Drosophila melanogaster: one gene and its partners. The protein of the gene in region 1 interacts with the protein of each later gene in a pairwise test. Each region holds a gene or a part of one and is shown in the gene's direction. Other genes may lie near its edges.

Evidence for each region.
Region 2: the proteins of Ada2b (region 1) and Ada3 interact in a two-hybrid assay, tested with the Drosophila melanogaster proteins (4 studies listed by BioGRID).
Region 3: the proteins of Ada2b (region 1) and Gcn5 interact in a two-hybrid assay, tested with the Drosophila melanogaster proteins (4 studies listed by BioGRID).
Region 4: the proteins of Ada2b (region 1) and Sf3b5 interact in a two-hybrid assay, tested with the Drosophila melanogaster proteins (one study listed by BioGRID).

What each region holds. Positions count from the first base shown.
Region 1 is NT_033777.3:8,235,257-8,243,475, reverse strand, and holds Ada2b (transcriptional adaptor 2b), read left to right. Parts: upstream 1-2,960; 5' UTR 2,961-3,052; coding exon 3,053-3,166; intron 3,167-3,869; coding exon 3,870-4,745; intron 4,746-5,223; coding exon of another isoform or gene 5,224-5,293; coding exon 5,294-5,373; intron 5,374-5,440; coding exon 5,441-6,038; 3' UTR 6,039-6,362; downstream 6,363-8,219. Other genes in the region: CG9636 (uncharacterized protein), read left to right, coding at 1-254, 312-558, 630-796, 900-1,086; PolI (DNA polymerase iota), read right to left, coding at 6,933-8,189. UniProt on the Drosophila melanogaster protein: Component of several Gcn5-containing histone acetyltransferase complexes that regulate nucleosome organization; involved in acetylation of histone H3, particularly on Lys-10 (H3K9ac) and Lys-15 (H3K14ac).
Region 2 is NC_004354.4:18,082,680-18,090,599, forward strand, and holds Ada3 (transcriptional adaptor 3), read left to right. Parts: upstream 1-3,081; 5' UTR 3,082-3,232; coding exon 3,233-4,903; coding exon of another isoform or gene 4,904-4,999; 3' UTR 5,000-5,739; downstream 5,740-7,920. Other genes in the region: Swt1 RNA endoribonuclease, read right to left, coding at 6,329-6,552, 6,616-7,245, 7,304-7,558, 7,638-7,743.
Region 3 is NT_037436.4:12,518,935-12,527,042, reverse strand, and holds Gcn5 (Gcn5 acetyltransferase), read left to right. Parts: upstream 1-3,028; 5' UTR 3,029-3,139; coding exon 3,140-4,398; intron 4,399-4,452; coding exon 4,453-5,105; intron 5,106-5,167; coding exon 5,168-5,697; 3' UTR 5,698-5,914; downstream 5,915-8,108. Other genes in the region: eIF2beta (eukaryotic translation initiation factor 2 subunit beta), read left to right, coding at 440-454, 658-1,057, 1,366-1,889; ver (verrocchio), read right to left, coding at 1,958-2,602; tral (trailer hitch), read right to left, coding at 7,892-7,899, 7,973-8,108.
Region 4 is NT_033777.3:9,013,030-9,018,569, reverse strand, and holds Sf3b5 (splicing factor 3b subunit 5), read left to right. Parts: upstream 1-3,228; 5' UTR 3,229-3,305; coding exon 3,306-3,563; 3' UTR 3,564-3,598; downstream 3,599-5,540. Other genes in the region: tgo (tango), read left to right, coding at 1-816; CG11986 (uncharacterized protein), read right to left, coding at 1,849-2,235, 2,302-3,001, 3,051-3,070; Kcmf1 (potassium channel modulatory factor 1), read left to right, coding at 5,239-5,254, 5,309-5,540. UniProt on the Drosophila melanogaster protein: Involved in pre-mRNA splicing as component of spliceosome. As part of the spliceosome complex, plays a role in the regulation of spermatogonial differentiation.

The sequences.
Region 1 (8,219 bases):
GGCCACATTCCGGGTGCCGACTTTAGTGTTGTGGACGAAATCGTGCTTTCGTACATTATTTCGATTTTGGAGGAGGCATCCCAGGATCCATGCTTCGATGTTGAGGGCTTTGTGGAGATGATGGGAGCCTACTTCGAGGAGTTTTCAACCATTGACCAGGGCATCATCTGTGACTGGATCTACAAGCTGGCCAATGAGCTTACCGATATGGAGAAAACCCAGGAAAACCCAGACGCCGTCAACTTATCGCTAAAGTACGTTTTCATTCTCATTCCTATGCCAGAAACATTTAATATAAAATATTTTTACAGCTCCCTGAGCCTCTCCAGCATTATTCCGGAGTCCAAGCTGCGTGCTCGCAACTCGTCAACTTCCGAAAAAGACGAGCTCTCATCGAACAGCAGCAGCAGTGGCGGCTGTGGCGGCAACAAGCGTTCCCAACATCTTTCGGAGACTAGCGATGGAGGTTCCACCGACAGCTCCAGCTCCACTTGCGACTACTTCCTGGACGAGACTGAGGTGCTCCAGGAAATGTTTCCGGATTCGGCAATAGCCGAGGTAAGTATTAGTTTATGGTGAAATTTAAAGAATTTTGTAATACTGTGTAATGAATTTAAATCCATTTCTAGATCAAACACTGCATCGCAATTTCCAAGGGGGACATCGATAGCGCCACCCAGATTCTCTTGCATCGTCAAGAGACGAACCAGTGTATTACTGACAAGTCGCATACTACTTATATGAAGAAGAATGTAATCGTCGACGATAATGAACTCAAGAATCGTATTATCGCTAGGTAAGTGTACACCTTAAAAAGCAAATAAACATAGCAGTATATTGAAGTGGATATCAACTTAAAATAGCCAAACGTAAAATATTATTTTTTTGACCCCATCTAGGTACTCCTATGTTGACAAGAATGCCACCCAGCGCGAGTACAAGCCGGTGGTACCGAAGATGGAGCCTCGCAAGCTGGTTCGCTACCGGGACAATAAGATCGTATCGCTTAAGGGCGAGCGGTACACCGAGATTAAGCGTGACGAAGATGCTGAGTTAAAAAAACCCAAGAAGCAGATTCAACCGTAACTAAAGAGGAACAAAACCCTCTTCAAGTATTTTATCAAAAAGCAAATTAATACACACCCCAATAACTTATCCGCACCCACGAAAACGATCTTCGCCAGTAGCAGTAGCTGCAGATCCAACGTCACCAACAACAGCAGCCATCCCGAAATCGAGCACAGTGTGTGCAATCATATGCATATTGTTGGGCTGAGCGCCGCCAAAAGCCATGTCAGCACCTATTCCAGCTTCACCACACCAGTGATCCCCGCCAAGCTTAGCCAATGTTTAGACGCTTCCCAAGACGATGACGATGAGCAGCGAGAGTTTAGAGACAAAGACGAGACACCGAGCACAGCGAATCGGTTCCCATATCCGAGTGAGTATGGTGCAGAGTTTGTGGCATCTGCCGGCATGTTGGTCATACTGTTGCTAGTTGGCCATTGCCACAGGACCTTGAGCCCTCATCGCGCCAATGCCCATGACAAAGACACAAAGACTTTACATACCAAATTAGTTGATAGTTATGCTTTAGGACTACTCGCTTATGCAAATTTTGAGAGCCCATCCATCGCGGCCGCCTGCTTATGAGTCTCGATGCTGGGAGCAGGCGGTTCAGACGGATCTGGACATGGATCTGTTTCCGTTGCCAGTCGTCAATTATGACGACTGGGGTCGCGCCTGCGCTGTGACTTTTCCTTAGTTCCTTACGCAAGCGAATTCAAATCGAACCGTATCTGTGAAAATCGTGAATCTCAAACTCTTGAATGTCCTCGAACAGTATTGTTAAACATACTTCAGTCCCTAGGATCAGACGCAGGTGCGACACCAAAACCGAATTTGGCGCTCAAATAGACTTATTTAGACGTTTTTAGGTACTCGAATTGATAAATTTTGTTGGCCGTGTGCGTGTTTTTGAAAAGCGCAGCTGCACAAGTAACTTGCCATATCTGTTTAAGATCTGTTAACCCATTTTGTATCGTGTAACTCGTTTTGTTTTTCTCTGGTCCAAGCTAACTAGCAAGAGTAAACTAGCAACAATGCCACCAAAGCCACATGCAACACAAACTAGTCCTCACCGCCCACTGAGATATCTGGAACCCATAACAATTCGGCTACTGCTCGGTGTAAGACAGCAATACTAACAATAATATAAACGTATTCACCATATGAACTAATCGAATAATCAACTATTTATACAGCGTAGCCTACCCCAAATCCTTCCCAATGATTGTAATGATTGTAACCTACAATATCTCGGCAGTCCCACGCCCTATTCATGTTAGATGTAAGCAACCGAAATATTTTTCGGCAGTTATTACTTTTACACTTTTTGTTTGAAACAAAAGATATTTACCCATTTTATATTTTTTTTGTAACTCAGAATTTAGCTTAAGTTTTTAATCCTGACCACCGCTTAAATTTACGTATCGAACTGCATTTAAGCACATGAGTTTTTTATATTTTTATTCAGCACCACGCTACAAATGTTTCAACCATCACATATTCGTATTTATGTTTACCTTGTTTTGGTTTGATATGCACTTCTTTTATTTTAGTTTTATTTTATATATATTAATATTATTTTTTGTGATAATTTAAAAAAGGCAAAACACTCGAATTAAACTTTTAAAATAATTAAATAAACTACTATCAATATTTAACGCATAAACATTAGAGTTTTGAACATGTGCCTAATGTTTGAAATTTGTATTCTATATTTAATGTGTTGGTACTTTTGGTAAGTAGTATAATTTAGAAATTAACTATAATTCAGAGATTCAACAGAATTATGAAAATTAGCTAAAAAGGCTTTAAGACTAGCTATATAGGCGGCACTGTTCCGATGAACTGGTTCGGTTCGTTGGCCGTACATATAAGAATTCTCAGTAGAGCAATATGGCGTTGACTTCGCGTCTGGTCACATTACTGGCATAGGTTTTTTTCGCACAACTCATAATTGTCGTGAAAATCCAGGTTTTGGCCCAAAATGACCACAATCGCGGATTTATTCACAAAGTATAATTGCACAAATTGCCAGGATGATATTCAGGGCATTCGAGTGCACTGCGCGGAGTGCGAAAACTTCGATTTGTGTCTGCAAGTAAGTAACTCACACATACACGCCGTCGAGCGACGCACGTATACATGTTGCAGTAGGGTGGTTCGCTCTTTTTGAGGTTCTAGATACTTGTATATAGATTTGTAAATAATAAAAATCAGTTATTTTAACAAAATATTCTTGAATCACCCTCTTTGGATGGTCAAACTAATGGCCATATGGCCTCAATCCTCTAAATTAACGTCACCCAGATCTTGACAAGAAAAATATTTGCTTTAACTTTTTGTTAATTTAAAGGAAATTTGTTTATTGATTTTGGTAAATAGGTAGACTATCGTAGTTAATTTAATTAAAAATTACTTCCTTACGAATTAGCAGTGTCATTTTTATTTAGTTAAATGCCATAAATTAAAAAGAAAAAAATGTCAAAATAAGTGTCTGAATCTTGTATTAAAAAAAGGCCTGACAAAGCGTAAATTTAGGGAATATGAAATATGTTTCTGTTTTAATTTCCTAATCAAATTATTTTTATCGAGGAACTATTTACACGTTTTCTTTGTCAACATAATCGACCCACCCTGTTACACCCACACTCGTACAATCTAGAGATGCGTCGCCAATTTGGAACCAAAAACTGACTCATCTAGACATTCAAATAATACATACACACAACCGGCAATTTCACCATATTGATTAAAAAACAGCTGACTCTGTATTTATATTGTATTGTTTATTTTTTGCGCAGTGCTTTGCCGCAGGTGCGGAGATCGGCGCCCATCAAAACAACCACTCCTACCAGTTCATGGACACCGGCACTTCCATATTGAGTGTATTTCGTGGAAAGGGGGCGTGGACGGCACGAGAGGAAATCCGCCTGTTGGATGCAATCGAGCAGTACGGCTTTGGAAACTGGGAGGACATTAGCAAGCACATTGAGACGAAGTCAGCGGAGGATGCCAAAGAGGAGTACGTGAATAAGTTTGTAAATGGCACGATTGGAAGGGCCACTTGGACGCCGGCCCAGAGCCAGAGACCCCGCCTTATCGATCACACTGGAGACGACGACGCTGGTCCTCTGGGCACCAATGCTCTCTCTACCTTGCCTCCACTGGAAATCAACTCCGATGAGGCCATGCAGCTGGGCTACATGCCCAACAGGGACAGCTTTGAGCGGGAGTACGATCCCACGGCAGAGCAACTGATCTCGAACATCTCATTAAGCTCCGAGGATACGGAGGTGGATGTGATGCTTAAGCTGGCCCACGTTGACATATACACCCGCCGACTCAGAGAGCGTGCTCGCAGGAAACGGATGGTCAGGGACTATCAATTAGTATCAAATTTCTTCCGAAACAGAAATTACGCTCAGCAACAAGGACTCACCAAGGAGCAGCGCGAGTTTCGGGACAGATTTCGGGTCTACGCCCAGTTCTACACGTGTAACGAGTATGAGCGGCTATTGGGATCACTGGAGCGCGAAAAGGAACTGCGCATTCGACAGTCAGAGCTGTACCGATACCGGTATAATGGCCTGACCAAAATCGCGGAATGCACACATTTCGAGCAGCACGCCGCAACAGCGACGCACCGCTCTACAGGACCATATGGCCATGGCAAGACCGTAAGTTTAAGGCTCCGCAACAGGGGTGCCGAAATCGAACTAACCATTAAATATTTTATTTGGTCTTGAAAATCCGAACTTTTTGGAACTTTGTTATTTTTTTTTTTATTATTAAAATCCAAACATTACCTTTTCTTTCGATTGTTTCACAAAAATTAAAAGAGGTGTTAGGTGACCGGAACCGGTAGCTTTATAATTTTATCAACAATGAGTAGATTAACTTAAATTGAAAGAAAACAAATGATTTAAGTTGAATGTATAGATAAAAGTTTGGATAAATCGATTTGGAATACTTAATACAGAATATTAAATGGTCAAATTGGCTAGTTTCGATTTCATTCCCCTTGGAGTAAGCTTTTCCCACTGAGAATGCATGACGAGTTGAATATCGTGTGTTCTGCCTTGCTTTAACCGTCGTCCTTACCTGAACTGACCCAACTCTTACAATCGCTTTTCCGTCTTGTCTCACGATATTCAGCTCCACTGCATAATAAACGCGCCAAACAACGAGCGTTCGAATGGTTCTATAAGACAATGTTTAACCACAGGACCACACGCATACCTCCAATGGAAGTCATCGGCCGCCAAGCTCTTCCTTGCACTCCCCACAACCGAATCTCAGAAAGGTGTAAGTATTTTGGCAAAAAATTGCAATTACCTTAGAACTTGAATAATTCGGTTTTTCGTTTATTTAGCGAAATGTCAAGCGGCGGCGAGGCAAGTTCAAATTCAATCGCACCAAGAAACACGCTCCACATCGCCGACCCGACCTGCTCCGGCGCATTATTGCCCAGCAAAAACTACTTGGATAGCTGTCGGGGATCGTCGGCAGCTACGATGCTGCAGACGACGGGAATGGTAATGGGGGTAACAGTGGACTCGGGAGCGACGACGGGAGTGACTTCCACGGCTACGACGATGGCGAATCTGCCAACGAACTCGGCGAAGGGAAGCCAACAACATCTGCAGCCGCTGCAGCAGCATCCTCAGCTCCTGCAAAGCGGCAACCAGCACAAAATGCAAAACGAGGCCGCCGGCGGAGGCAGTGATCAGGTGCCCAGCATGAGCCTGAAATTGCGCACCCAGCTGGAGGAACTAAAACATCTGCCACAGCCGCCGGGCAGTGAACTGCTCAGTCACAACGAGCTGGATCTGTGCAAGAAGCATAATATTACGCCCACCACCTACCTCTCGGTTAAGACTGTCTGCTTGAGCGGAGCACCATCGTTGGGTAGTCCTATGGAGACTTCGCTGCGCAAGTTCTTTATCAAGTGCGGCTGGCTGAGCCACTGAACATCTTCCAACTTCCCGCTCCCCTTCGATTAAGAGCCACATGCATTTCCAAGGACTTCACTTTATTTTTGTATTAGTTAGAATAGGTTAAAGACATTTTTATACTGTTCAACTGTCGTTGGCATTTTCATCAAGGTAAAAACTACAAAACTGAAAATCAATTTACTTGTATCAAGTCAAGCTCAATTACAATAAGTGTTGTTCCTTTGTGTGAGATGTCGGGATTCAGATATTGTGTATTAACTAAGCTTAAGTAGGGGACCCAACCAATTGAATATGTATGATATGAATTGTAAATGAAGTAATAAATGTAATAGTGAATGTACAACAAGGACGCGACTTGTTTCTCGGATCTCACAGCTGGGAGACCGCTTTGGACTGAATGCCGCTAGGATATGTAAGAAGTAAGGTATTGAGTAAGCCTCTGATAGCGATAATACCGCGTTGAGTATTTATATTCGTATATTATTTCTTATGGTAGCTAGTTTTCTAGGCAAGATTCTGAACAATGCATTTGAACGTAATTCATTAAAGCCCATGAGAGCATGATAATCAATGTACTAGGCTGAGGAATGGAAAACAATGCTGGAAAAAATATATAAATATCTAATATGTTAACACATATGGAATGTTTTATAAATTAGCGAAGATTAAAACTTGTTAAATGAAAATGCGGTTATCTAATGACATTCTTCGGTATTATAAACTTAACAAAATCACTCATTCAGTTCAAGAAACCCACTAGTTATTTATCCTAGCTTATGTTCGTCCAATGCGGCACCCTAAAGCATGCACTCTGTAACCGTATACCTACAAAAATATATCATATATTTAAACAAATTTATTCTCTTTACCATTATAACTAAAAACGATGTGATGCTCGGATACACTGCATCACTTATTCCGGAGAAAGTAGCGATACAAAGTGTTCTTTTGTCCGCTGGCGGTTGTGGCAGTTGCTGGGGCTCCACTGGCGATAGCTGCGCTTGTAGCGGCACCGGTCCCATTCGTTTGCTCAACAGCCGCCACCAGGGAGCTGCGCCACGATGCGATCAACTCCGTCTGCAGCTCCACGGGTAGCTCTTTGAACACCTCGGCATCCACACCCGCTGGACAAACTATATTCGTTAGGGCATCACACGTGGCCGTACTACTACTGCTGGTGACCACCGCTGTCGTGGTGGGTGAGGGAAATGGCAAGGTTGTTGTGCTGGGTGCGCTCATGGCTATGGAGTCGTCCATGGGAGAAGGAAGCGGCGAGGATGCCGTAGAACTAGCATTTGAGCTCAAGCGACTGGCAGTGCGCGTCGTAACAAAGCGTAGACTGCCGTCGATCCGTTGCAGCAACGTGTTTGGTGGCTGGACGGTGCGGAAGCGAGGCGCAGGCGCGGACGTAGAGGTAGAAGGCGTGGTGCTCATGGGAAAGTCTTTCTCGCTATCCCGCGAGTTGAGGCGCAGATCACAGACACGCAGTTTGCTGGGCGAAGCTACTTCGGCGGCGGAATCTCCCACATCCGCCGCCAAGCGGCTGCGCTTAGAAACAAGTAATCGGCCAATGCGACTCTTTTTCGGCGAGGGTTCCACCTCAGTCTCAGAGAAGTCGCTGAAATCCGAATTGGTGGCCGCTGATTCGGAACCATTATCAAGTAGCATGGGCACAGGTGATGCAGTAGTGGCTCTTCTCCTATAGAACTGATCGCTGGGTTTGAATGTTGTTGGCGAGGAGCGGAAGGCGCACTCGTCTGATGTGGGACTCTCCGCTGTGGGACTTGTGAGACTCGTATTTGTCAGTGAGGTGATAGACTGCACCTCCAGATCCGCCTTTTTGATCAGGAAATTAGCAATTGATGAGGAGCCAACCTTGCGCTCCTGGAACTTGGAGAATGCGAGGCCTAGTAGAGTGATGTTGAAGGGCTTGCTCATATCAACAATTCGCTCAAAAAGTCGCATCACAATCTTGAGGAGTTTATCCTGGGCGCCATCCGCCAGTTGTACCTTGCTCACACCAGTTTCTCCTGGACACATGGAGGTCTTAAAAAGGGAGGGTAGAATGTTGGCCTGTTTGGTCTCACGGTGGCTGCTCTTCTTTTGCGAGTCGAACTTGCGCAACACGACCTTGATGGCAATGGGAACGCGTCCATCCTCTGCAACCTGGGGAATCAAAATGTGTTCGTAAGTTGG
Region 2 (7,920 bases), on another chromosome or scaffold:
TAATCGGGCGTATTAACTAAAGCACGTTATATGCGACTACCGGCTATCGTAAATTGAACGGTGGGTGGGTTGGACGGTTGTGTGTTCTTCACAACTGATAAGCACCCGAGCCCCGAAAAAATATGTGTACATATAAGCAATAATATATATAAACAATTATTGGGGTCTGTGCCACTCGACTCTTTACAGAATACACATATGTATATGATTGTTGATATACATATGTATGTACATAGCTATATCATTAACGTGGCCCGCATAACGAGTTAAGCAAATTGGAAAATTTTGTCGCCAGTTCAAACAGCAAACGTATAAGATACAGATAGAGATCTGGATGGGACACTGTTTTAATCAATTGCACAAATATTTGCGTCGCCAACTGTTGCTGTCGTATTTTTCTTGCCATTTAAGCCTCTCATATAACGGCTGCCCTTCCTCGATTTCTGGCCGGAACTTATGTTCACATAATACCCTACACAGCAAAAAAAAAATAATTCTTAAAATTATATCTCATCTTGATAATAAGTACAACTTTGTTATCTAAATCTAATTATCAACATTATGCAGATATTCAAGCTTTATAAATATAGCCTCTTTTGTTTCCGTTTAATTTTGATATTTATTTATAATTATCAATTGAATTAGCTGCTCAGTAGATATTAAATTATCGTAAATAGTCATTGTTCATGTCGAAAAATAATTAAGGCACTTAAATTTATCACTAAGAAGTCTAAAATATGAGTATCAATGGCCCGATCCCTAGGTGAGTTATGGAAACAAGTTGATTGATTAAACCGTTTAAGTTCTTGTTGTAAATCTCAACAAAATGCTGATTAAATGGGAATTACAACATTTCTTATCAGCTATGTATATATCTAATTGAATTTAATGCGGTTTTGATGCACTGATACGTTGATACGGATACGCTGATAATGTTTTCCCCTCACTTAGTTGATTATCATTCCCAGCTGAGCAACCGATGGTCAATACTACCTGGGCGATAATTGATGAGGGGGAGGGAGGGCGTGGCACTGGCTGGCGGTCAATTAACGTCAACAGTGGAGTCTAAAATTAGATGGGCTCGCTGATTGATTGGCCATCTAGCTTATGGCCAACAATGGTCATAATCGTAATGGATGGTAGGAGCTGCGCTCTGATCGATCGACATAGCCGGTGGGTGCATCGCTGAAGCTATCCCCGATCATCTCAGGGCTGCGACCTTATCGCCACTATCGCCGGTGGTTACAGATTTCTCTTCTCCGGTTTAATTGGCACTGATAACGAGCCGACTGGCCTGCGACTGGGCTTATAAAACATGTGCTAGTGCCGTTTTCAAACAACAGCTGACACACAAAAGCCCCATAATCGCTGAGACATCGCCGGAACGGAACACATCGACGACGACGACGACACACGTAGACGCAAATATTTGATCAATAAAACAAGAGCGGAGGGTTTGTTCAGGTTTTGGCGGCACTGCAAATACCCTTACCCGCCCGCGGTTATTGTTCGACATATTGTTCTAGATATTATGTGCAATCCACGATGGGATTATCTCGCAAAACAAACGTGTTTGTGTGTACACTATCCTTTCTATGACGAGATATAAATTCAAATTAGCTACGATTTTCAGTTGTTCTATCTACCAGATGATATTCACATTGCCAAGATTGCAAATAGCAAAAACAAAGAATTAACTAAAGAAACAAAGAACTATATAGACTGATGATCACTTTTTACTTGAGATAATAGATGGGGGAAGCTTGTATTTATCTTTGTATTGAAGAACAAACAAAAGAAACTCGAAACGAATATATCACTTCTCTTTAATGTACACATCTTATGGAATACAAAACATGAAACCAAGCTTAAATAAAACACTTTTGTCCGCTGTTCATTTATATTAAATTGTTTTCACTGTTTATTTTAGGATCTTTAGAACCGAAACTCTCGGGGATCGAATTTTAACTTAAACAATACACTTCGCACTTTTTGATTGTAAAATAGACAAGTCGAAGTTAAGTTAATTGGCGTAGAACGAAAATAAAAAACTTTTGCAGTTCGGTGATAGATCATAGCTTAAAGGTGGCATTGCAAACCTCTTCTGATAGCGAAAATGCCCAGTTGGGAAAGTGTAGTCAAATCGAAGGGAAACAGCGTTTTGAAGCTGGGATATTTGTGCATATGTCGGCACGACTGAACCCAACTAAACCGAACTGAATCGCTGGATGTTGGCTTTTGATTTTCGTTGATTCCCGCCCGCGGGGAGGGGGGGTGTGGTCGTGAGCAGCGAAGGGGGCGTGGCGGCTGAGCGTCAATTCGACTTGTCTTGTGATTTGCGCCTCACAATTGGACAAACGAGGCGCAATTGGAGGCAACCAGTCCGAGATTATCGGATGCTTCGATGTTTTGGGTGCTTGGATGTTCAAATGTTTGGATGTGTTTGCATGCTTTGTGGGATTTTGGGGGGGTGGGGTTTGGGAAATGGGTGTTCAATTACATAAAATTACATACATACACTGCAGTTTGCACTTGCAGTTCGTCTGCGGAAGGGGGGGAATGGGTCTACTCTAACATCGCAAGCTGCTCCCACTGGCCATTACAAATTGTCAACAGTCGCTGATTTGTTAAGTACACTGCTTATCACCGAAATAGCGCGCATATCACTAAAAAATTCAGACGACGACGGGCGAAATGCGAACGCCAAACAACAACAAAGAACTGAACAAAAAAGCAAAGTATTGGTAAGCACGCGCGCTACGCGGCCACCAGTGTTGCACAGCGCTGGAGCAGCTCTGTTGTGCACGATCACTGTTATAGTTGCAGAGAGTATTTTTCACTATTTTGTGGATAAAATCAAGTGGTATGAAAATGTATCCATGCGATAATGTTCCGTTATCTTCAATTGCTGAAATAAAGTCAAATAAACAGTTTCAATTACTGCTAAAGTTAATTAATGAAATGCTAGTTAAGTATGTCTTAAATTATAAATATTTAGCTACTCATGAGAATTTTTTTTGTTTGGCCCACTGTGCATAACCCGCGCGTGTAGCCCATTCCAGTATTTTACCATCTTGTACATTAGTATTTACCCGTCTTCCGCTACGGTCACACTGCCATATCGACGCAAAACAAATTGCGATTTTCACAACACAAGAAAAGCAGGAAAAACAGCAAATATATCCGCAATCTAGCTAACACACAGGTCCCCAACCAGTCGCAGTCGCGTTCCATGAGTGCGAACCTGAAGAATATCAAACTGGCCCACTTCAGTGGTTCGCTCGGTTCCGGTGGCTTTGGCATCTCTGCGTCATCCGGAGGAGCTGGAAAACTGCCCACAAATGGCACAGGTGGCGGCAAATCCGCCCCAACGAGCACCTTCCTGGACTCCGAGGTGCTGGCCACGCCCGGCGGCGTCGTTATACCAATAATTCGCACTCGGGACGTGCCCAAATTGCTGCCCACCATTGCAGCGGCACTGCAGCGTCCGGCGGATGATCATTTGGCGGCCGAGGATCTGGATGCAGTGCAACTGGAGCTGGAACAGATGCTCTCCAATGTGGCGCTGCGCACGCGCGTCCTGAAAGCGGAGTATGATAGCCTCGACAAGGATGAGAAGCGCCAGGATCGAAGAAAGCTCGACCGTGTGCCTGGATCGCCACCTTGTCCGGCTAGCATGCTCAACGGCTTGCTGGGCATCGGCAGCAACTCGTCGACGAGTCTGGGCAGCCCGCTGGGCGGCGGAGGCGCCTCATCCTCTAGCCAATCGAAGCGCAAGCGGGATGAGCCAACGGGCGTGCGCAAAAAGCACTCTTCGATGACCATTCTCAAGCAACAGGGCGTTTCCGGCGGCACCTCGAAGCACCAGGCCAAGAACAGCCCCTTGGTCGTGCACACCGACGACAGCATGGACTATCTGCCCACACTGGCGGCCGCCAATGCCTCTGGATCCGTGCTGCCGCATCACCAGCCGCTGCCGCAGCTACCGAAAATGACGGTGCCCAAGAACGATACGCCCAACAAGTTCTGGCTATCCGTGGAGCCCTACTGCATGCCTCTAACCAACGAGGATCTGCGCCTAATCGATGACCTGCTGGAGCAGTATTGGGGTCCACTGGTGCCGCCAGTGCCACCTCTGGGTCCCCACTACTCCACAGTTTGGGCCCAGGAGGATATAAAGGCGCTGCAGCCGGGCGGAGCTCGAATTAAATCGAACAATTCCAGCGGAATGCTCAAAAAGGCCGAAGGCATGGTGGATGAGAGCATCACTGGTCCACTCACCCAGCGTTTGGTGTCCGCCTTAATGGAGGAGTCCCTGATGACGCTGCCCAGCGAACAGGCCGCCGTGGGCGAGCACAGCAACAGCACCACGAGCAGCAGCAACGAGAACACCCACTCGCACTCCTCGTCCTCGGCAAATGCTGCCGCAGCAGCTGCTTCCGGGAACTTTCGATCTCTCGCCATGATGAAACACGGCGTGGGCATCGAACAGCGCCTGAAGAAGACTCTCATCGAGAACGGACTGATCGATGCCAGTGAGTTTGCGGCCCACGAAGACGTGGACGAGGTGCTGATGGAGATCAAGCGCGTAACGACCGAAATCAGCACCATTTCGCAGTTTAACAGCGAGGAATTGAAGCGACTGCGTGCCGTTGCCAGTGAGGAAATCAAGCGCATTGCCATCAAACAGAAATTGGACATGGTGGACCAGGAGATACTCGAGTGCTACAAGCGAATGCTGCAGTATCGGGCCAAGCGCAAGGGCCACACCATCGAGGAGAAGCAGGAGATACTGCGGCTGACCAACGAGCAGCGCCTACTTGCGGATCAGCTGGAGCGTATGCAGATGCATCTGCCCTGCATCGGCGGCTCCGGCAACTCCCTGTTAGAGCCAAAGATGTAGGACAGGAGCCTGGCCTGGGGCTGGTGCCAGCTAATGGCCATGCATCAGGCAAAGAGGCAGGTCCGCGACGCTAGCCTCAAGCTGCAGTGCGTCTGAAGGAGCTGCTCCTCCTTACTCGCCACTCCTTTCATTTCGCCAGACTGTAAATTAGCCACGCTATTCGACACGTACACGTAGCCTCTAGTGTCCGCAATCCAAGTTGTGGACGTTTTGGGAAGATGCGCTCATGGTGGCGGAAAATGTTTTGCATAAGTTTTCCTCGAGTTTTGGCATTCGTTTTCCCCAAATCGAACGCCACTTTTGAGTCGTTTTCGACTAGCTTCCAAACCCGTATTCTTATCTTCGTCACCAGACTGTACATTAACAAAGATACATTAGCTCATAGAATGTAGTGTTCAAGATTAAAGTGAAATTAATTATTTAGATAAGATCTTCAAGTGGCGGAGAGTAGCGTTTGCGTATTTTAAACTGTTCTTTTACAAAATCATAATTTCCCTTTCCTTGCTTAGTAACGTATTCCGTATTCTGTAAGCCTACAGTTTTTTGCCAATTTGTTTGTAATTGCCTGAAAATTAAATGGATATCCGTAGATTTTACATGCTAAATGCTAAATTTGATTTTGTGTACATAAAAGTGGAGGGTGAGATTCGCATTATTCGCTAAATGAACTGAAAAACTTTCCGCTACTGGAATTTCCCAAAATTTTACGAGCACGTTGTTTTCCTCATGTCTTTCGCAACTATAAATATTGATTCACCCTATTTAACACTCCCAAATACATACACTTTGTATAGCTTAAGTTATCGCGCGGCAATAAAGTCGTCACTATCGAGAGTAAAGCACAGAATTTTCCACCATGGGAGTGAGTTTGGGAGGAGAGAAACCACCGCGCTGGGCGAACGCTGCGTACGCTTTGAGCTCGATCTGGCCGACGAAGCGGGCAAGTGAACTCCAGCGGATGTGGGGAATCCTCTGCCGTTGCTTCGATCTTGTTTGCCCAGCCGATAAGGCGCAATCAAAGTCGGCAACTCCAGCGTACGGCTAATTAAAGCCAAACAAGCGAGCCGGCCATCTTCGATCGGAGGAAGCCCTTCCGGGCCACGCGGATTGGCTATCTCTAGAACGCTAATCGCCAGGCAAATATATCCAGAAACAAACTTTATTATACGTAGCAAATGGCAGTCAAATCTGATCTTCTAATATGTGCAAGTTTTTAGTCTTGGGTGAACACGTCGTCAGTGGCCTTCCTCTGAATGTATGCTAGATGATGTTTGTGGGTATAAAGATTCATTGTACTTCATGTATGCCGCGGTGCATCTTGCTTGACTGGTCGATCCCTTTCGCCCGCCACCCGATCCCGTATCACAAACGCAGTCACAGTCTTTCGTATACTAAATGTAAGGTGGGAGCTCGGACGGCATCGAGTTAATCGCCGAAGCCAGCGAACTCATCCACATAGGTGGACATCAGATCAGAGCGACAGGAGACCTGAATGTTGGAGGCATTGGCCTTGAGCCGAAGGTTCGCGTCGTTGGTGAGCAGGATCATGTGGGGAACCTGCGCCTGCAGCTGCAGGCAGCAATTCAAAATGCTGTCATCCGGGCAGTCGATCTTGATCAGGTGATCCGCCTCCTCCAAAGCGGATTGAGCTGCAACAAAGATAATACACATAGGTAAGTTCCAACGATTTACATACACAATCCACGACCCACCTTGTATTTGAAAGCTTTCGTCGAACTTGGTGTTCAAAAAGCGTATTGCTCGCATGGCAATCACACGCTGCAGGCAGTCCGACTGGTACTTGCTCTTTAGCTTGTCCAGCTCTTTGATTACTATGTACGGAAGGTACAGCATGCTGCCCACCGTGCCCGGCAGCACCACATCGGTCAGTCTCTCCACGAACTTGTGGTTGTGTATGAGGACGTTGGTGTCCAGCACAAAGTACATGTAATCCTCAAGCCTTGGGGGCAGCTCCTCGGCATCGGCCGCCTGCAGCATCAATATAGTGTCGTCCTCTTCCTTAGCCTCATCCTGACCTTTCTGTGGCGCCTCCTCTTCAATGGACTCCGCCGGCAGCATCAATAGAGTGTCGTCCCCTTTCTTAGCCTCATCCTGATCATTCTGTGCCGCCTCCTCTTCAATAGACTCCTGCCATTCCATGGGCTCGACCTCCATATCGCTGGCCGTCGAGCCATCAAATGCACTTGGATTTGTGATGTTGCAGGCTTCTGGTTGTTTTTCTATCACCTCTTCGTTGATCTTGGCCACAATATTGTTGTTGCGCTCCTCATATAGCTGCTTCTGCTGCAGCGAAGCTCTTAACAGCATGAGACGCTGGTAGGCTAGGGAGACGATAAGGAGAACATGGGATATGAGTAACTATATGCACCGGGCACTCACCAGTTTGGGTACGTCCCGCCTTCAGGCGATTGGCATCGACCAGGGCTTTTGGCTTTTCCCAGGCATTCATCGCCACCTTAGGCGGAAACTTCAGGAGTCGCTGGGGCGTAGATGTGGACGCACTTGATCGACGAGATGCGGAGGAACTGTGGGTGATCCGCTTGGTGGTCCCCTGCTCCTTCTCGTTGTCCTGCACCCGCTTTAGTTGGCCCTGCAGGCGCTTGAGGCGGTCCTGGGCGGGATGCTGGCTCACTCCTTGCCATATTGCGTGGAAAAGTGGAGTTGAATCTTGGTTCTGGCATTCTGGCAAACGCGCAGTTTGCATGGGTTTTACCATTTGACGGACGTGGCGTGCTGATGATCCTAACCAGCTGGTCGTCGTCCAACGGCCTCAGATTGGAAGACTTTGGCGTGTGCTTACTTTCTCCACCGAGCGACATATTGTGTTCTTTAACATTTGATTTCTAGGAAGTACTCATTTATTTTGTATTTCAATAGGCAATCTGACTTAGAGGTGGAGAAACATCGATGACATCATCGATATCATCGATCTTTTCAAACAATCACAAGCATCGATGTTTTTCGAGGAATCATCGATGTTCTTCCATACATCGGAG
Region 3 (8,108 bases), on another chromosome or scaffold:
GCTGGCAGAATTGAAACGCGCCATCTGGCGGTCAGTAGCGGAGACATGTAGGACAGTAATTGATAAGGACTACTGTTAACTGTTACAATGTAAGCAAATACTTCAAAACTGTTATACTTGTGTTAATTAAAGCATACGTTCAAAAGTCGAGTTGAGTTATTGAATGTTAACTGTTCGTAGTTCGAAAGTTATCTAATTTAGCTAACTAATTTAGCAATTGTTTATAAAAAAGTTTTACTTGAATATTATTAATACTCGGTATATCTATGCAAATGGTATTAAAAGTATATTTTCGCATGCCGGATGGTTTACTCGTCTAAAACTCAGCCGGTCACACCGTCTGATTGCCGTGCTGTCACTTTGGCTGATGCAATTGCAGTTTTTTTAGTTAAAACAAAATTAGTTTCCAGTCAACTAGTATTCAAACAGCCCAGACACAATGGACGCGGAAGACGTAAGTTCCCGGAACACCGGCTAGTGCGTTTCATACGCGGAAAACTTGCGTGGAAAATTCGCATATTATCGTACATGTGCGCCCTTGTTTGCGTATGTGTATGTGTGTATTTACACATTTGTGTATGAGAACTGGGCGAACATTGAGGTTATGTTTGCTTGATCCGGATTTAAACCATATTGAAATTCCAATGATTTTCGCAGGGTTTTGATCCCACTTTGCTGAAAAAGAAGAAGAAGAAGAAGACCACGTTCGATCTGGACGCGGCATTGGGTCTGGAGGATGACACCAAGAAGGAGGATCCCCAGGATGAGGCATCGGCGGAAGGAGGTGCCGCCGCCGAGGAGGATAATCTAGATCTGGAGAGTTTCGGCAAGAAGAAGAAAAAGAAGAAGAAGCCCTTCAACATGGACGAAATCGAAGCGGCCATACCCAGCTTTGGCGGCGATGATGTGGCCGCCAGCGAGGAGCCCGAGGAGGAGGAGATCAATCTGGACATGGACTTCTCGATGGCCAAAAAGAAGAAGAAGAGCAAGAAGAAGGAACTGGACGAGCTGTTTGCGGACCAAGCGGACGACGACAAGAGCGAAGACAAAGAGAACGGTACGGTGACGAATTGCAGAGCAGCCAGGGAAGCTTAGGGTTATAGAATCATCCCAACCAAGATTGGCAGCCATATAAGCTTGTTGTCACTTGACAAAGGCAAAGCTATACGATTCTTAAAGTGTATAACTTGGCTTTCGCCTTTTCCGAAGCATTAAAACTCAGTGTATGAAGTGAACTAGAAATGCTTAGCCAGTGAGTTAGCATGTAGCTGTTCCAACTTTAAATAGACTCCAGATTTCAAAGCTCTCACTTAGCAAATAAGCTTATACCATACCCTTTTAAATAACGTTTTCATCCGTTTACAGACGAGGACAACAGCTCAACCTGGTTTGGCTCCGACCGCGATTACACATACGACGAGTTGCTGAAGCGGGTCTTCGAAATCATTCTCGACAAGAATCCGGACATGGCCGCCGGCCGAAAGCCAAAGTTCGTGATGCGACCGCCGCAGGTGCTGCGCGTGGGAACCAAGAAGACCTCCTTTGCCAACTTCATGGACATTGCGAAAACGCTGCATCGCCTGCCCAAGCATCTGCTCGATTTCCTGCTGGCCGAGTTGGGTACCAGTGGCTCCATGGACGGCAACCAGCAGCTGATCATCAAGGGCCGTTTCCAGCCCAAACAGATCGAGAATGTGCTGCGTCGCTACATCAAGGAGTACGTCACCTGTCACACCTGCCGCTCCCCGGAAACGATATTGCAGAAGGACACGCGTCTCTTCTTCCTGCAGTGCGAATCCTGTGGCTCCCGCTGCTCGGTGGCCAGCATTAAGTCAGGTTTCCAGGCTGTCACCGGCAAACGTGCCGCCATACGAGCAAAAACAACCTAAATTCTCCTTATTTAAAACTTTTTGAATTTTTATTACCAGTAAAATTTCAATACAAAAAACCAACGATACTATTTATTTGTTGTATTCTGCATTGTTTTATGCCTTCGTTGCCAGTCGGTTAGGTAGTCTACGAAGCCAATTTCCATATTCCGCGATCGGCCGCTGTCTATGAAGAACTGAAAAGCGTCCAGACCCATCTTGCCGCGGAACCTATTCGGACGACCGCGCAGGAATAGGCTGTGGCCCCTCGAGATGCGCGTGGGATCAATGTACTCCATGGAGACCTGCAGCAGCCGCATCATGCTCACGGCAATGCTCTTGTAGGCCTCGGACGAGGCCAGCGAACTGGCTTCACTGTACAGGCTGCTGATCACGCGTCCATTGAAGGGTTTTTTGGTGATGCTGGCCTCCAGGGAGCCGGTGCCATCATCGATCATGAACTTCATGAACGACTCGTTGTGCGTTCCATTGCCAGTTACAAAGGCGTAGATGATGCAGGTGCAGAAGTGAATCGGATGCACGTCGTCTGTGATGAACACATTCTCGTTCTCCGGATCCTGAGTTGCGCGCTCAATCTGGGATATGGTCAGCGGCACGTTGTCGTGGACCTCCGGACCACATTTGCCCGTGGACTTTTCACTCTGTTGATTCTTGCGTATCACGAAGTTATCCAGCTGGCTTTCTATGTCCTCGAAACTCTGATTAAAATCCATTCTATTTGCTTAGTCTGCGATTTCAAAGGGGATTTCTTTATTGCAGTGCATTTTGCATTAGCGCCAAAAAAAAAAACAGTTGTGAGCATGGGCGTAGACTTCGTATTTTCTTACAAATAATATTAATTAAAATTAATTTTGTGAGCAATTTTCACACAATTGTATTATAAGTTAAAACCAGGGTCACATTAATTTGCAGAACCGCGCAATATTTTCTTTTTAACCCCCTTACAAATTTTCAGTTGTTTTGACTACGCCCCTGCTAATTTTTACTTATTAAATTCAAAGTCTAAAAACATTGTCACCAGATAATACGAGTATACACTATATGGACAAACGTAAAATCGTTAATAGAATATATATATTCAACCATTATTTCACCACCGAGAGAAATTCATTTGCACAAAACGCCAGGTTGGCAGCACCATCATTGCGCACAGCAAGTGGGCAAACTCGTTGTATCGCTTGTGAAATTTAAGGAAAAGTACACTTTGTTCAAAACTAACGAAGAGAATCGCAATATCTGCCGATCTTGGAATGTCTGGTGGTCCATCCATAACGATAAAAAGCCAACCAATCGATGGTAACAACACGGGCAACGCTGCGGCGCAACAGCAGCAGCAGGCAGCGAATGGCGCAGCAACCGCTGGTGCATCTGGAGCCGCTGGCAGCGCCCAGAATCCAGGACACGGAGGAGCTGCGTCCGGCGCTGGCAGTGTGCCGGCAGAGGGAACGCGCCAGAACAGCCTACAGCGCATTCAGCAGCGAAAGCAAAAGGTCTTCAATCTGCCCGTGCCACAGAAACTGGCCAAATTGTCGATGTATTCCGCCTGCCAGTCTGAGGGATGCCGTTGCACCGGCTGGAAGACACCGCAGGAAAATCGCCACCGTGACGTCGAGTCCTCCTACTGTCCGGAGTTCAACGAGGAGTGCCGCAACACCAGCTGTCGCCATTCGCTGAGATCGCACATAGCCCATCTGGACAATATATCCAGTTCCAGCATGAACGAGCTACTGGGCGCCATTATAGACATGGAGAACCTATTCATGTCCATGCAGCGCGTCGAGGACGAGGACACCAAGAAGGTGTACCAGTACCTCTTCCGTTTGCTGCGCCAGTGCGTCCTCACGCGCCAGCAGGCGGTCATCCGGGGTCCTCTCGGCGATCCACCATTCGAGACGCCGTGCATCACCAAGGCTGTGCTCTCGTTGGTCTTCTACAAGTACAATCACCTGAGCACGCCTGAACTCCAAACCATGACCGAGGTGGCCAAGACGTTCTTGAACTTTCTGAACCACTACAACTTTGAATCGCCGTCGACCAGGAGAGGAGATCTCACCCACGAGGATGCCTCTAACTACAAAATCAACTACACCAGGTGGTTGGTGTTCTGCCACGTGCCCGCCTTCTGTAACTCCCTGCGCCAATGTGAAACGTCCCTAGTGTTTGGACGAACGCTCCTGCGCACCGTTTTCCAGTGCATGTCGCAGCAGCTGAAAAAGAAGTGCATCTCCGAGCGGGATCGCTTTCCCGAGGACAAGCGTTCGATCATCACGCTGATGCCGAAGTTTTTGGAAACGCTTCGCGCCGAATTGCTCAAGGATGATTCGCCCATCTGGGATACCAGCTACCGCCCGTCAAATTCCTTTGTCATCCAGCAGAGAAAGCGTAACCAGGAGGTGGCAAATGTACCCATTGGTCCCAGTGCAGCAAGCATTGGTGGAAACAAGAGGACCAGTGTGGGTGAACCGCTCCACAAGCGAATCAAAAAGGAGCCCACCGATCGTCCAAGCAGGTTGGTAATCAGTTTTTTCTTCTTTCAATACATTTACTAATCGTCCTGCCGCAGTGAGAATTTGGATGACCTGCCTGCGGATGTAGTAATGCGCGCCATGAAATCGGTGTCCGAGTCGAAGACCACCAACAAAGCGGAAATTCTCTTTCCGGTTAATGTGTCGCGGGATGAGAACGTCAAGGCGGAGGAGCAGAAGCGAGCCATTGAGTTCCATGTGGTGGGCAATTCGCTGACCAAACCGGTGGACAAGCAGACTGTTTTGTGGCTACTGGGCCTGCAGCTCGTATTTGCCTATCAGCTACCCGAGATGCCGCGCGAGTACATCAGCCAGTTGGTTTTCGACACCAAGCACAAAACACTGGCGCTCATCAAGGAAAACCAACCCATCGGCGGCATCTGTTTCCGCCCGTTTCCGTCGCAAGGCTTCACCGAGATCGTTTTCTGCGCGGTCACCATGTCGGAACAAGTTAAGGGCTATGGCACGCACTTGATGAACCACTTGAAGGACTACAGCATACAGAGGGGTATCAAGCATCTGCTCACATTCGCCGATTGCGATGCCATCGGGTACTTCAAGAAGCAGGGTTTCTCCAAGGACATCAAATTGGCGCGACCAGTTTATGCGGGCTACATCAAGGAGTACGATAGTGCTACTCTCATGCACTGCGAGCTGCATCCAAGCATTGTGAACACGCAGTTCATAGCTGGTTAGTCAAAGAATGGACAAGGAATCCATGGTCCCATTTTACACTCCAATTCTTCCTTTCAGTAATTCGCAGTCAGAGCGAGATTCTGAAGGAGCTGATCGCACAGCGCCACAACGAGGTGCAGAAAGTAAGACCCGGCTTGACTTGCTTCAAGGAGGGCCTGCCCGTGATTCCCGTGGAATCGATTCCTGGTCTGCGGGAGATCGGTTGGAAGCCGCAAAATCGTCCGGCGCGCTCATCGCGACCCCTCGAGGAATCCACCGATCCGGAGAAGCTGGCCACGTCCTTTGCATCCGTGCTGCAATCCGTGCGCCAGCACACCACCGCCTGGCCCTTCCTGCGCCCGGTGACCGCGGCCGAAGTTCCGGACTACTACGATCACATTAAATATCCCATGGACCTGAAGACCATGGGCGAGCGCCTGAAGAAGGGTTACTACCAAACGCGCCGCCTGTTCATGGCGGACATGGCGCGCATTTTCTCCAACTGTCGGTTCTACAATTCGCCCGACACCGAGTATTATCGGTGTGCCAACTCCCTGGAGCGCTACTTCCAGACCAAGATGCGCGAGCTGGGGCTGTGGGACAAATGATGCAGTGATTCCGAGGAGCCCTGCATAAGGCCGAACATTTAATCGAACTAAATTATTATATTAATTCTATTTATTTTTAGAATTCTCCCCAGCTAAAGAAAAACCCATATAGTTAGTTTGTCGTTATAGATACTTAGGTTAAGCTCAGTGTGTCCGTCTTGTTCACAGACGCGTTGTGTCTTTGGGAAGAATAAATCAGATCTATCGCCTACTCATTAACCACGAATCCACCCACTCTCCCTTCATCCAGTGGACAAAACCAATGCTGGTCAAATGATGTGTAACCACTACGTTTTTGTCTTAACTCTTTATTTCACTTTTGATTTCCTACATTCATTGTTTCGCATGCTTTTAAAGTTAGAGTTCTTCTCATTTGTTTTTATTTTGGTTTAGTAAATAATTTCAGTTATAAAATTATATCTTAGGGGCGGGAGTTTAATCGAATCTCTAGGACATTGTACAAAGGCTCATGCATACATAAATACGTGGCTCCACATCTGCGTTTCATCCTTTCCAAGGCTGCACCGGAAATGGCAAAGGATATCGTGGATATGCCGATGGTACAATGAAAATGTTAACCGTAGTTGCTTACTGCTTGAATTCAATTATCCTTTATTACATGGTATATTTAGTTTTTAATTTCCATACGTGGTAGTCTTTACAATTTAGCCATTACTTGCGAAACGTGCTTTCTTTTCAGTGTTCAACTCGATAATTGCGTATTTATATACAAACATACATATGTGGAGCTAATCAGAGTGAGCATATATGGAGATATACATATTACATACAATTAGATACATAATTTATGATTACATAATATTGAAATGTTTGTGGTGACTCCGCCAGCTCATCCTCATCCTCATCCCTCTTCTCTCTGCCAGCGTGTTAACTGGCCAAACTGGACTGGGCTTGTGCTGAATACAAATATATATCTGGATACAAGGATAACAAACAAATATCTAAAGGGATTCAGCTGGAGATACGCGTACTTTACTCGCTTTTGAAGGCCTCGATTTCAAGCGCAGCAGCCAGTGAATCACACAATCAATCTTAACATTTACATTGAGAACATCATCACCATAGGTATCGTATCTTTTCAAATCGATTCGAATCGTAAGTATAATTTCCCTTGCCCAACCGAGATCAGAGAAAATAAACTGTACGAAAACCGAAAATTTGGGCTTTTCTTTTTGGACAAATTTGCTAATGATTGGTTGTTTTCTTTTTTTTTTTTTGTTGGGGTTTTTTCGTTTAACATTTTCATTCGGGAGACTTCATTCATTCATTGCAGCTGAGCTGGATTGACTTTTTACAATTGTGCTTTTGATAGAAGCGCGTAGCTGCCGATTTTATTTTCTTTTTTTCATGTTTAAAATGCTCTTAAATAATAGTTGTTTTAAATGCTAGTAAAACGGGTCGAGCGTTTGTCGATGTTTTACGCCCACAAGAAATACAATATTACAATCGATTTGTTACTCTTTCATTCAAATAAAAACGTATTAAGTTAGCTTTTATTTTAGATTTGGGAATTCCATGGATTTAATTGGTTTACTCCATTAATTTCATTATTGTTGTTATCGGCTCCTCCGCCAAATCTCCTTGCTCCTCTCCTTGCTAAATGGTTGCTTTCGTTTTGTTTTGTTTTTTGTAGCTTTTCATACTTATGCTTAACTATGTTCTTACTAAATATATGTATGTATGCTGGCGTGCCATTATCTGCTCCTTCTTATCAATGCCGTGCTTTTTGCTCAGCGCAAGGCGTTGGAACCAGCCATTTACACAAAGCCTAACACATGGCCGGTTCGGTTCGGTTCGGTTCGGTTCACATTCACATTCACATTCGCGCTAGTCGCTAATCATTAATCGAATCGTAGAGCGCTTATCATCGCCAAGCACACGGTGGTGGTGGGCGGGCAGCAGCGGAGTGCGCCCCAGGACGTCGTGAGAATTGTAACACTAATTTAATTATACAAATATATTATGCCGCTGGATCCATAACTCGAAATTCCTGATAATAAGAGCCTGTGTGTCGTCGATCGTTCGGGTCACTTGATTGGTTTGCTTCGAATAATTAGCTTTGCAATGAATAGGATATTTACTTTACGCTCTTCTCAATTCGCATCTATCAATTTGTGGTTTGTTGGTTGTGGTTGGTGTATATTTAAAGTGGCTTTCCACTGGCCGGGCGGCACTATTGTGCTGCAAAAGTAAACAGACACACATGTAAACAAACATGTTGCAAATGAAGTGCTTAGATGTAATTGCTACTCACAAACTGCCGCCACCTGTTGCGTCTGCTCTGGCAAGAGGGACGTCGACTTTGTCGTCGCGGTTGTGGCATTTGGTGCACTGGAGTCCGTGGCATTGGATCCGTGGCCAGCAGCATTGTTGGCCGCCTTCAGCGCAGC
Region 4 (5,540 bases), 780 kb from region 1:
TATACCGACGAAGTGGAATATATAGTGTGCACCAACAGTTCTGGGAAGACCATGCACGGTGCTCCCCTGGATGCGGCGGCTGCTCATACGCCCGAGCAAGTGCAACAACAACAGCAGCAGGAGCAACACGTTTATGTTCAGGCTGCCCCAGGAGTGGACTATGCGCGCCGCGAGTTAACTCCAGTGGGCAGCGCCACGAATGATGGCATGTACCAGACGCACATGCTGGCCATGCAGGCTCCTACGCCCCAACAGCAGCAGCAACAACAGCAACGGCCAGGATCGGCGCAAACCACACCAGTCGGATATACCTACGACACCACACACTCGCCGTACAGTGCTGGCGGACCATCACCGTTGGCTAAGATACCCAAGTCTGGCACCTCACCCACGCCGGTGGCACCCAACTCCTGGGCAGCACTGCGTCCCCAGCAGCAACAACAGCAGCAGCAGCCCGTGACCGAAGGCTATCAGTATCAGCAGACGAGTCCGGCCAGGTCGCCGAGCGGTCCAACCTATACACAATTGAGTGCCGGAAACGGAAATCGCCAGCAAGCGCAGCCAGGAGCATATCAGGCGGGACCACCACCGCCACCCAATGCGCCGGGAATGTGGGACTGGCAGCAGGCTGGAGGACACCCGCATCCGCCGCACCCAACGGCGCATCCGCACCATCCGCACGCTCATCCCGGTGGACCAGCAGGAGCAGGACAGCCACAGGGTCAGGAGTTCTCAGATATGCTGCAGATGTTGGATCACACGCCGACCACGTTTGAGGATCTGAATATCAATATGTTCAGCACGCCGTTCGAGTAATACCCACACCATTTCTTTCGATTCCCACTCTTCCCCCGTCCCGCAACTTAATCTGTGTCTCTCTTAACCACTTCTCAAGTGCAATCCATCTTACATTGTTGAAATAATTCAGCCAAACGCATGCAAATTGTAATCTCGTAAATAGCATTTTAAGTACATAGGGGTAGTCACGTACACGATTCAGATATCTTTATTTTTGTGTGCTACGTCTTCTTCACTTCCACCTCCCGTATCCATTAGCCCGCCCGCCACCGCCTCCACTTAACCCGCTCATTGGCCGTGCAAAAGTATTTACAATTAAGGCCTTACGATTGTTCGTAACTAAAGGCAATGTGTTTACACCGCTATATAGCCCATGAATTCTAAACTTTCTCATCGATTATATAGGATTAAGTTCATATGTGGACACGCTGTGTGCAGAGTATTCATTTGTATTTGTCATTGAGCATTTTAAAGTTCATACAACGTATAAATATATAAATAATTAAACAATTCGTAGCCTAATATACCACAAATTGATAGTTGTAAGCAACTCAGCAAGTGTACCACTTCCACGCTTTTCCCGCGAACAACATTGACACCATTTCCCATTAATTTTCGCTCATTTTTCGCCAAGGCAATCAGACGTAGACGAGCAAACAATATACGGTCGATATGTACACTTTACATGCTTTATGTGCAGCTTTTCATTTTGTTTTAATTGCATTTTATGCCGCGACAACAAAAACTTCCAAGCTCAATACAGTGGCGCTCAAAATTGAATCGCACTCGCAGAAATGAGACCATTTAATTAATTACGTCAAGTTCAAACATAACATTAGTTAGTTAACCTCACTTCGAGAGAACAAATTCTAAACAACTTTTTAGTCGCTAAGTCCCAACATTTGTAAGTAAGCTCACCACAACGATGATAATGCTTAAAACTTTGGTTATTGAGAATAAAAATTTTGGTTTTTACTGAAAATAAACTTAATGTACTACAAACTATGGAACTTTAGTTACTGATGAGGTTTATCTTTTGCCCGATTTCATCTAGCTGCCGCTGCTCTGCGGGGGAGCTGCCGTACGATTCCTCTTAAAGTCCCTGAATCTGGGTCGCTTGGCGGGCCTCTCTACGGGTGAGCCGTCAGCGGAGGTCCCTCCCATGGTCGTAGCTTCTTTTTCCTGATCCTCATCGTCGCTCTGTTTTGCTTTGATTTGATCTTCCCGCTTCTTACGGGCATTCAGCCAAGACATCATCGTTTTGTTCATCGGTGGCTTTGCGGGCTTAGCCGCCAATTCGATCGGCTTGTTGCACTCCTCGCTTTTGTTTCGCGAGTTGTTTACCAGCTTGGTAACACGATGCCACTGCAGTTCGGTAGCCGGACGCAATGTAGCCAAGGCCTCCTTGTCGCTAACTCGCTTAAAGTCCAGCCAATCCTAGAATATGCGAGGATGGGTAAATTGGACCTGGATTAACGAAGGATTAACAAATGCTTTACTCACATTCATCTGCTGCTCGGTTTCCAGGATCGCTGGCATGCGGTAGTGCATCCAGGACATAATTTTGCTGGACTGGAAGGTGATAATACTGTAGCTGTACATCTTGTCGCCACTTTCATCCTCCCAGACGTCAAAAAGTCCAGCCATTCGCAAAAGCTTCACATCCTGGGGCGACCATGTATTCTTGTCGTAGATCTTCACATCCGCCGCCTGGGGTACGAATACCAGGTAAGCCTCACGCTCCGATGGCTTCTTCGCAGGTCCAGCCGTCTGCCACTCATAGAATCCTTCGCAAATAACTACACACCGCTGACCTCGCTTGAAGGGACCGCGATAGAGCTTGGAGTCCATCAGGTGTTCCAGACGGCAATTGTTGGTGGTAAGGCCATGCCGCCGATAGTCACCCTTGTGCCAAAAGGGAATCATGCCCCACATCATGGGCGTTACCACGCGGGCGCACTCTTGATCCTCGGCGTCTGAAAAATGAGCTGCGGACACGATCACGGGCGTAATATCAGTAGGGGCTATGTTGTAGGAGGCCTGGTAGCGTCTACCCAGGTTGTATTCCGCCCTCCACTCGGGAGTCTCCATTTCGGATCCTTCCCCATCTTTCATATCATCTTTCTCTTTGAAATCCGGCTCCTTTCGAGTAGATTTTTTTGGATATTTACAGGCACAAATTACCTGATCAGGGTCTAGAGTTCTGAAGAGGCGTTTAATAGAAATGGTGAAAGAAAAAATTATATACCTACAGACAGGTGCGTCCACACATTGCTTATCAAAGTACTTGATAAATGAATAATTTATAAATGACAGCGAAATGTAAACAAATATTACGATTTTAAATACCAAGTTTGCCGCCTGTGTACTAAAATACCAAAGTGTCATGTACTAAAGTAATAAAAATACCAACATACAAAATTTCTGGCCACACCAAGACGCAAACAACAAAATAACACACTGCACATTAACTATTCCTCGCCTAATACTGAAACAACTTAAGCAAAATGGGTGAACGCTACAATATCCACAGCCAGCTGGAGCATCTACAAAGCAAGTACATCGGAACAGGACACGCGGATACCACAAAGTTCGAGTGGCTAACAAATCAACATCGCGACTCCTTGGCCAGCTACATGGGTCACTACGATATTCTCAACTACTTTGCCATAGCGGAAAATGAATCGAAGGCACGAGTGCGATTTAATCTGATGGAGCGAATGCTGCAGCCATGTGGGCCACCACCAGAAAAGCTAGAGGATTAAGAAAAACTATTTTAATAATAAAGAAAATAATTGACAAGACAATGTAATTTTCCAAGGGTGGATTTTCGGATAAATTCCAACTTCTGTAGTTATCGACATTCGGTATTTTGCGCTCAAGCGGCAAACGGTCGCACTGCAGGTCAGGAAAAGCTTTTCACTCGATATAATATAACTTATTTTCGTTTCAATTGTTCATTTTCGAGGTCTAGTGTTATAAAGTTATCGTAAAGTAGCCAATGCCGCACCAAAGTAAAGTACGTTGTCGTGTTATCCCCAAAATAGAACGAATCAATAACTTATCAAATCCCTAACGAAATCGGTGTGAAGCAAAACGGTAAAACTGCAATACAGCAGCCCCACAACAACAATAACACATCGCGAGCGGAGCATCTTGTGCGAAATATCGCGGCGAACAAAAGAGATCAGATCCCAGGCGCAATTTGCAATTGCGTAGAACAGAATACACATATTGGTGTCTGCACATAGACACATAGCACACCAGTGCAAAATGCTTGTGTATATGTCAAGATGGGTGTACGAAAATTGCGCGCCGATGAACAATGTGCCGAAAAACAAGAGCAAGATACAGACAACGCATTAGCATATAAATAGTGACAAAACTAAAACAGACCTACTGTTATTTCCCAGCTGCCCAAATCAGCCTGTCTGCCCAAAGTTCTTGCAAAAGCTCTTCTTAACCAAATGGGGACCGCGTCTATTTGTACGGCCGCCACTGTGCCATGACTGGCGGCGTTGCCAGATGTATGTGAGAAAAAGCGTAATTCACCAACTGAGTGCTCATGACATGATTAACGCGAAAAGTCTGCATAATTCCCCGTGTGTGTGAAGTGGATGCAAATGTTTATAAACAATAGCTGTAATAATAATAACACGAAATAATAATGAGCAATTGCTAACTGAGACCCTCAGTAAATACGGCAACACTCGCGCATATCTGCGCTTTGCTTTTCGGGAGCAGGGCCAGGAGAAGAGGTTTTCGGTGAGGGGGCAGAGGCGGTTGCACAAAAAGCCCACGACATCGTCGAGTTGAAAATTTTCGCGAAACCGAAAAAGTTAAAAATAAATGTTTACTGTGCAGCGGTATCGCTGCTGCGGGGAAAATCGCAATTAACCCCTCGACGCCCCGCTGAAGTCCTATTGCTAAGTGTAATTATTCGATGGCTCGCGTACGATTGTATTGAATAATTCGTTGCCTCATTGAAGAGGGTTGTGGCGGGGGCCGAGTGCAGGGAGCCCCTCTCTTTATGTGCGCCTCTCTTCTCTAGCCTTTTGCTGGGCAAACGGAATGGCGAAAAGAAAGAACCGTAATCGCGGGCAATACAAAAGAAGAGAACTAGGAAAGAGCAGGGAAAACAAAAGAAGGAAATGCCATGTCCTTCTCCCTGCAATTTTTGCCCTGCAATTTCAGTATCCTTTTTATCCGCTTTACTTTTCCTTTCTAATGTGAGGAGTATAACAACTGATGAATAATTGTCGCCACTGCTTTCTTGTAGATCCTCTCAATCTAAATTCAAAAACTGGAATCCTCCGAAGCCCCGCAAGGAACCCACATAAAACCAGCACAGCTGGAAGTTAAAAGCAAGTCAATCTTAAGCGGGAGACGCTCTCCTGATCGCTTGGAAGTTGAAGCCAAGCCTACTGCCGCTGCCGAATAATGAGTCGACATGAAGGTGAGTCCTTGAAGCTTGCAGAAACCCTGATAGTAACCATTTATCCCATCCCAGGTGTCAGCTGCGATTCATGTCTCAAGAGCAACTTCAACGGACGGCGCTACAAGTGCTTGATCTGCTATGACTACGATCTGTGTGCCGATTGCTACGAGGATGGCGTCACCTCCACGCGCCATTTGGTCGAGCATCCCATGCAGTGCATCCTCACCCGCTCCGATATCGAGCTGTACTTTGGCGGCGAGATGCTAGCCTCCGACCAGCCGCAGAGCTTCACCTGTCCCTACTG